Cricetulus griseus: one gene and its partner. The protein of the gene in region 1 interacts with the protein of each later gene in a biochemical or structural test. Links are inferred from orthologs where the notes say so. Each region holds a gene or a part of one and is shown on either strand. Other genes may lie near its edges. The genes, in order: Ncoa6 and Thra.

What was found.
Region 2: the proteins of Ncoa6 (region 1) and Thra form a complex in vitro, tested with the Homo sapiens proteins (2 studies listed by BioGRID). The link is inferred for Cricetulus griseus from reciprocal best matches to the Homo sapiens genes NCOA6 and THRA.

The regions. Positions count from the first base shown.
Region 1 is NC_048599.1:24,227,740-24,231,548, reverse strand, and holds part of Ncoa6 (nuclear receptor coactivator 6), read right to left. Parts: intron 3,243-3,809; coding exon 249-3,242; intron 1-248. UniProt on the Homo sapiens protein: Nuclear receptor coactivator that directly binds nuclear receptors and stimulates the transcriptional activities in a hormone-dependent fashion. Coactivates expression in an agonist- and AF2-dependent manner.
Region 2 is NC_048600.1:111,824,744-111,829,264, forward strand, and holds the start of Thra (thyroid hormone receptor alpha), read left to right. Parts: upstream 1-1,611; 5' UTR 1,612-1,777; intron 1,778-4,521.

The DNA of each region.
Region 1 (3,809 bases):
CACACACACACACACACACACGAAAATGAAACACGTCATCAGTTCAGAAGCTAGGAAGGAACCATGTTAATGAATATAAACTGAATATGGGATTTAAAAGCATATTTTTCAATGTACTTTCAGTAAGTAAATCTACAACTATGGCCATTTTTCTTCCTCTAAGCAGAAAAGGGCTCATGCTTTCTCTTTTGTGGGACAGGTCAACAAAACCCTGACCTGAGGAGCTGATGCCAAGCTCAAGTACATACCTATGCTGGGTAGAAGCTCTGGATGAGGTCCCACCTTCTCTTCCACTAGGCCACCTGCAAGTGGCTCAGATGCTACGCCACCATGATTGCCTTTTGTGGTTGGCGCTGTGGAGATGAGCTCAGAGGGTACCAGTGTGGTTACTATTGAGCGTACACTGGTTGGGAGAGCACCGCCAGGTAAGATGGGTCCTGTTGAGGTGGAGCTTGGGCCCATGGGGCTAGAGGTCATTTTTAGTAGCGTGGGTGCTGAGGGTGTTGGGGTTTTACTGTCCAGCTCTGTGGAGCACTGCTCTGTTCCCATTAGCCCAGGAGTTGTGGTCTCTAGCCCTGGGCCTTCAGTCTCTCCATCTGCACCATACTGTTCTTCCCCTTTTTCCAGAGAGCCTGTAACTTTCTTACAAGCCTTGGTCAGCAAAATCTGGCCAATTTTGTCCACTTTTCCTTTGCCCTTAGTGGATGAGACCGGGCTTCGCCGATTGGCAGAGGAGCCTGGACTATTGGTCAAAAGGGGAGAAACTACTGTGGTGGACTGTGAAGAGAGCAGAGTGCTCTGATCTGCTGAGGTGTTCATCTGAGGACTAGCCTCATCTGGATTTAATTCTTTTACTTGCTGGATAGAAGAATTAGGAGCGACGACTGGAGAGGATGTACAAGGAGGGGAAGGCAGCTGAACAGGAGTGGCACGTGAGCTAAGGACCAACGGCCGGCCTGTCTGTATGTTTGGAGCAGGACTGCTGGAGGGAACATTAGGTGCTACAGGAGCTGAAGAAAATTTTATGTTTTGAGGTATGTGTAAAGGTCCAACAACTGCGACGGAGGGAGGCATCAGGCCACTGTTGGTTGTCAATGGGGTTGCAGGAATTGTGCTTGGCTGTGATCCTTTCATAACCTGAATAATTGAAGATGAATTGATAAAGACAGGTGTAATGAACTGAGGCCGGGCATTAGATTGAGCAGCGGACTGTCCCTCAGAAACCATAACTTTGTTACCCACGTTGGGCATTGTGACAACTGTTGACATCAAGGCAGAATGCAAGTTTGTTGGCAGGGCTGCTGATGTGTTAGATGAAGTGGTTATGGGATTGGAAGTAACAAATACAGTTATTTGGTTTGGGGGCAAAGGAGTAGAAATGGAGGAAGAGCTGACAGGCCTTGACATTACTGGAGGGATGCTTGGTGCAACATTAGAGCTGACCTCACTCAATTCTGGATGCGCAAGGGTTGAACACGGCTCATTACTGTGAGGTAAGTTTAAGGAATTAGAGGGCTCTTTAGAAGGCGGATCCTGCAGTGTGGGAATGACAGATGCTTTTTTGAGGTCTTCCCCTGAAACTACTGGAGGTGCTACTTCCAGATCTGTAAGCCCAGGGGGTTTAATGGTCACATTAGGAGCTCCAGAGTTGTCAAGAAGTTGGCTTAATGATGTTGGTGCTTCTCTCATGGCAGGAGACATCAAATTTTTGTTCTCTTCAACACTGGGGAGTTTGTTAGCATCCAAAGGTTGCCCATCTTTTTTGGACTGATCTTCAGGGACAACCATTTTAGCTTCTTGGATAGGGACTACTTTCAGCTCAACATTTACCTGCTCCTTCCTACCCTGGGAATTCTGGCAATCATTGTCCTGAGGAACGTTCAAACTCTCTTTGTTATCCTCAAGAACAGCCCCCACTGCAGGCACAGGCACAGGCACGCTGGGATTCTGAGGATTAAGCCCACTATTGTTAGGAAAGCTTCCAGATAAAGTGGGATTAGCAATTGGAGTGGGGGAGACCAATACATTTCTAGGCAGTTCCATGTTCTGCAACAGGGTTGTGCTTGGTTGAGAAGCCAGAGTAAGTTTTGGGGCTTTTGAATTTTGCCTTCCAGGACTTGGGGTAGTTTTCCTACTGGACCCTGGACTAGACCTGCGACTGTTACTTGGACTTGCCCGTTTTGTTGTTCCAGGATTAGACTGTTTTCCAGAATTCACCACCACAGAATCTAATTTATGAGCTTGTGGGGCAGCAAAGTTAGGAGGATTATTTATGGTAAGATTTGAAGGTGCTTGCCCGATGGCTTTCAGAGTTGTTGGATTTAAACCCTGTTGATCAAAGCCCCTATTTAAATTTGGCCTGGGAGGTAAAGGAATATTAATCTGTGGAGGGAAGAGTCCTGCTATGGAGGCATTGAGTCTTTCTGGTGACAGACTTATTTCTGAAGGTTCTGTACTGGGAGGGCGGTTGTTGGGTGTCTGAGGATAATAGGGTCTGGGGCTGGCTCTGTTTGGAGTTTTAGGCCTAGATGTCTGGGTTGGTGCAGCAACATTTGGAAAGTGGTGGCCATGGGAGCTAGGCAAAGAATTTACAGGAGGTTGCTGGGGAGTTGCACCTTGAGTTGCTGAAAGGGGAGATGGTCCAGGTTTGGGCCCTGTCATCATTAACTGATTCTGAGAAACTACTAAATGTGACGGCATGTTATTTGGGCCTCCTGAAACAGATGGTACTTCATTGCCACTAGCTTCAGGAAGTGAGGACAACTCTGCTAGTGGAGAGCTAGAAGAATTCTGTGGGTTCTCCTGGTATACCATTTTCCTCGAATTACTTCCCAATGGAGTATTCACAGACATTGGGATTCTTTGTTTATCAGGTGATGGTGGCACAGAGGCAGGTCCTTGCAAGCTAACCATAACAGGTACATTGCCACTCTGCTGCACGGGCATTCTCTGGGAGTCTGGGTTCAGAGGACCCCGTGGAGGGTGGACATTTTGGGAGACTGGAAGCCTAATGGATTTAGGGTCTTGCTGCATCATGAGCATCATCATCATTTGTTGCTGCTGCTGCTGATGTTGCTGAGACTGTGGCTGACTAGGTGGTGGTGGTGGCTGTTGCTGCTGCTGCTGAGGCAGTTGTGGTTGTGGCTGCTGCTGTGGTGGCTGTGGTGGGGGTGCCACATGCTGCATGAGTTGAGGAGGCATCTGTTGCAGTGGCCTCTGTTCAACTGGTTGAGTAGGATAACCTAAAACAAGCCCCCCAAAATCAGGGAAGTTAGATTTTTCAGCAAGAAAACTTTGCTACCTTTAGAGTGTAGCTAAGCAGTACTCATAGGTAGCAGACTGCGCACAAACAGCTCAGGCATGCTGTTCCCATTGTCTGACACAAGCAAGGGTTCACACTGCTTAAGGAGGCAAAAAGCAAAGCATTAAGAACACGAAGCCCCTTGGTGTTTACGTTGTGAATGAAGCATTACTGCATTAAGACTGTATTATGCACTATAAATGAGAAAAACCCTATCAACAGCAAAGGGCTGGTTGCCCAGTATTTAGGTCTCAGGTAGAAATAATCAGTAATTCACTGTGTGTATGAAATAACATATTTAGAAATCGATTTTTCTCGTAGCAGAGGACTTGTTTTTCTCAAAATTTGGTTTTGATGAAAACAGCCTTTTTGTTCCTTTAATAAAAGTAAAAGATATAATTCTAGTATTGAGTCCACGATCTCCATATACTATGCTGTATCCTTTGGGCTCCATCCTCTGGGGGAAACTGAATGTACTGTATTGCCCCCAGGTTGCAACAGTTTACTA
Region 2 (4,521 bases), on another chromosome or scaffold:
TGTACAGTGCAGGCTTCCTTCAGCCTGTGTGTGTGTGTGTGTGTGTGTGTGTGTGTGTGTGTGTGTGTGTGTCATCACCAATAACTGTTACCTTCCACTTTACTCTTCCTCATCCCAGTTTTCCTTCTCTTCCCTTTTGTCTCAGGAGCCCCAAGAGAGGCATCCTTCCTTCCCCACAAGCATTGCAAACCCTTAAAATCCCTTGTAAGAGAAGTGGCTCCGTGGTTCAGGGTGTAGGTGGCTGAGACTAAGATGAGCAAGGGCAGCCCAACTTGGATAGACTGTTGGTCAGCATCCCACTCAGCAAACGATTCTATCCAGTATAAACTGAACGGTTAGAAGAGCAGCTCCCCTGACACACTCACTGGCTCCTCCCCAAGAGCAAGCTGGGGAGGCAGGGCTCCGCCCTGGCAGCCGTGGGAAGGCTATGGCCCCCGCTGGTAAAACTGGGCTAATGACAGCGGGGGAACCGGCGGGGCCAGAGGGGGGTGCTAGGGTAATTAGACCTCTGCCTGGCGGTAGTAGATCCCGAGATGAAAGGGGCTATGGCGTCACTGACAGGGTTTTATGTCCATGAATGCAAAGGGGTGTGCGTGTGTGCGCGCGCGCGCGCGCGCGCGCGTGTGTGTGTGTGTGTGTGTGTGTGTGTGTGTGTGTGTGTTTGGTGCACGTGCGTGCGCGTGCGCGCGCAGGGGTCCGGAACTAGCATGGAGACCTCTCCTTTGAGAAAATGAGTCCATCTATTTGCAGCCACTCTGCTCCTTAGGTTGGCCCTGGAACCATTTGGATTTTGATGGTGCAAACATGAGAGGAGATCGTACCTCAGTGAAACTGGGAGCCGAGGGACAGTAGAGAGTCTTGCCCACCCCCCTCCCCAAGCTTAGCACGGGCTGTATATTGTTGGGGAATGGCTGGTGGGCACTGAATAGAAAGAGCCTCTATGGAGAAAAGAAACGTTTGCAGGAGGAGGCAGTGGATCCAGCATTAATGTTAGAAATGAGAAAGGAGGCATGAAAATGAAAAATGAGACTCCAAAACGGTTAGAAAATAAAATGGTTGAAGTTAGGAGGATTTCAGAAGTTACCTGCCCAACACTTGGATTTTAAGCTCTAACTAACCCTGGCAGCTGTAATTTGTTCAAGGTCACACAGAGAGTTGCTTGGAGAGAAGGGACCCGAACTATGAAACAAACCTATCGTTTGGTATCTGGGCTTTCTCCCGGATTTATAAGGTGCAGAGAACTCCCCGAAACTTCCCCTCTACCTCAGGGTGCAAACCAGAAAACCCCCAATTCTCCCAGCGAGTAAAAAGCTATTAAAAAAAAATGACATCTTGCTCAAAATGTGTCACAGAGCCTCCTCGCTCCTCGACGGAGCCTCAGGGGTGAAGTGGGCGAGTCCGAGCCTAGTAGAGGCCAAGGCGAACGAGGGGCTGCGGGGCGACCAGCCGGGGTCCCGGGGCGCGGCGCGGGCCGAGGGGCGGGGGCCGACGGCTGCGAGGCGGCCTGCAGGGAGCAGCCGCGAGCCGGCCGGGCGCGCGGAGCCGGAGCCCCAGCCGGAGCGGGGCGGGGGAGGGAGGAGCCTGAGCGGCCGCCGCCTCTGCCGGAGGAGCGCCGGGGCCGCCACACTCGCCCCCCGCCCCCCGCGCTCACTCGCACTCACACCCCGGCGCTGGAGGCGGGCGGCCCGGGCCCAACCGGCCCCCCATGGACGCCCCCAGCACGGGGCGCTGAGACCCCCGCGTCGTTGCCCAACTCGGTTCAGCGCGCCAAGCCAAGGTAAGGAGGAGGGAGCGAGGGGGCATTAATATGCAAATGCATCGCGATTGATTATGCAAAGCCGCGGGTCTCTGGCCAGCTCGGAGGCGGGCTGGGGGCGGCCAGGGGGTTCCCGTCGCCGACCTGTGCCTTTCCGGGCGCCCGGGTGACCCTGTCACAGCCCGAGAGCGAGCCACTGACGCCCTGGGAAAGGGAGGTGCTGTTAAGTGGTCGGTGGGCCCCGGGGTTCGCTCGCGGAGATGGCGTCTGGGCCTCCCCTTCGAGGGCCCGCCCGGCCTCTGTCCGGCCGGTCTGCTGCGCATTCCCGGGTTGGGCCCCGCTGCCTGCCGAGGCTCCCCCGCCCGCCGCGCCGCGGTTTGTTTACGGTGTGCCAGAAGCCTGTCGTGCCCCCCCAACCCTCCCCCCTCCGCCAAAGAGGGCGAATGGCCTTTGCAAAGCCGCCTCCAGCTACGGAGGGCAATGTGGGTGCGGCAGGGTGGGGGGGGGCCTTGCATGGGCTGGGGGAGAGTGAAGTCCCCCTCCCCTCCCTGCTTTCCCAGTTGAGCATGGCTTTCTGGTTGCAACACTCCTAATTGCAAAAACGCGGCGGGTGGGGTGGGGGGAATGTGAGCCTGTAGTAGTGGGGGTGTACTAGTGGATGGTCCCTGGATGATTAGGAGAATTGCTGGCCTGTGGTGGGGAAGAGAGGAAGCAATGGACCCGTGTTTGTGTGAGTGTGTGTGTGAGTGTGTGTGTGTGTGTGTGTGCTCCCCTGTTTCCCTCCCTTTGCAACGTGTCTCCGGTGGCCCTTTTCTGTCTAGGGCCCTCCCTTGTCCAGTGTGAAAGGAAGGCCTGGGAAGATGTCAAAGGCAATGGAGAGAGCCACCCATTTCGGGGACCAGGGGTGGGGGGGTACACAGAAGGAAAGCCGGGGAGATGGGAGCCTGCCCCTGAATGCTGGCTCTGGACCCAGGAGGGGGAGGGGATGAAGGGGGCCATTGTCCAAGATGAAGGGGGAGGCAAAGGTGACATGCAGACACAGATATGCCCACACAGACAGCCACACGAACACTCAGGGACACCCAGGCAGATTCAAGGACAGGAGCTGCTGGACACACCCACATGGGGACAAGGGAAGAGGCAGACTGCTGCTGCATGGTGGAGCTCAAAGGGGTTGGACACACCCACGGGAGACCAAGAGCAGAGAGACAGCCTGTGCACATACCCACGCACAGGGTCACAGGGAGATGCTGTCACACACAGGGGCAAGGAAGAGTCGCTGTCACTATCACATGCATGCATGCATGCATGCACACACAGCAGTTGCACACAGCCGCACAATTACAAAAGACCCTGTCACTCACAAGCACACACGAGCTCACATGTGCCCAGTCATGCAGTCATCATTGCTTGCCATGACAGTCACTGCCACTCAGTCAAACAAAAAACACAGCTACACATCAACACATGTGTACTCAACTTAGCAACAAGTATTTTCCTGGGTTCATCTGTGGAGCTGAGGTTCTATGGACAACAAAACCTTTGCTACCGAGAAAATCAAATTCATCTGTATAAAAAGACTTTTCTGCATATTGGTGCACAGGATGCATTCCTGATAATATAGTCTGTTACTGTTGGTTGTCATACCACCCAGTTACTAGATGGCAATCTCCTTGAGACATGGGAGAACCTCTAGAAGAACCCTGGATCCCACCCAGAGCCTAGCACAGTGTGTGCTCTGTAAACACTTGTTAATTGATTGACTGTAGGAACTCCAGGCACAGGTGCACTCCTTTACACCTAGTCTCACAGGTGCAGGGGCCATGCACAGGGCTCCCGAGTGCAGTCACAGGTCCCACCTGGCAGTGTCCAGATAACCCTTGCAGATAGACACATTGTAGCTAGGGCAGGAACGCACTTAAATGCACACAGCCACAGACTATTCCCTCTGGCTTCTTTCTATCTTCTAGGCTCAGCCACTGTGTAGCAATGGGCTCTCCCCCCCCCCTTTTAGAGGGACAGAGAAACAAGAGCAAAGTGGGTACAAAGGGGGTTCCAGAGGGCCGAGTCATGGGCCTGCAGCAATGTCCAGTGACTTCTAGCAGCTGGGATTGTCCTGGTTGCTGGGGGAGGGGTGTCTGGGGAAGAGTTGGGAGTGGCTCTCTGGCTCTCTCTCATCCCTAGCCTATAAGCCAGTGGGGACCTGGCTGCCCCTGCTAGGGTTTATTTGGCTGGGCCTTTCCTGGGGACCCTTAGTTGTCCCCAGCTGAGTGCTTGCCTCCCACTGTGAATCTGCCCCCTTTCTCACCTCTGGCCCTCTTGTCCAAACTTGGAAGCTTTCCTTGGGAGGCCGTATGCTGGCTGGCGAATGTCTGTGTGAGTGAGGTGTATTTTTGACTTGGAATTTCTCTCTAACTCTGTCTGTCTTTCTGTTGCTGTCTTGGGGTGTCTGACTCTCTCTCCTTGTGTCTCTGCCAGTCTGTAACTCTCTCTCTCTCTTGCCCTGTGCTTGTCTTCATTTCTGCCACGGTCTCTTTTCTCAGAGCTGGCAGCAACATTCTTCATACTTTTCCAGTTGTTAATGCTCAAATTCGGGCCCTTTGGCCCGCCCAGCCTGCTTCTGGGGTCAGCAGGAGGTTGGGGGGGTGGGGGGGTGCTCAGCTGGCTGCTCAGGACATCCTGCCTTTCCTTAATGCTGCAGCTGCGGCTGGCCAGCATGTTTTGGGGGCTGGGGATGGGGAAAGGGAGGGGAGTAGACTCCCCTG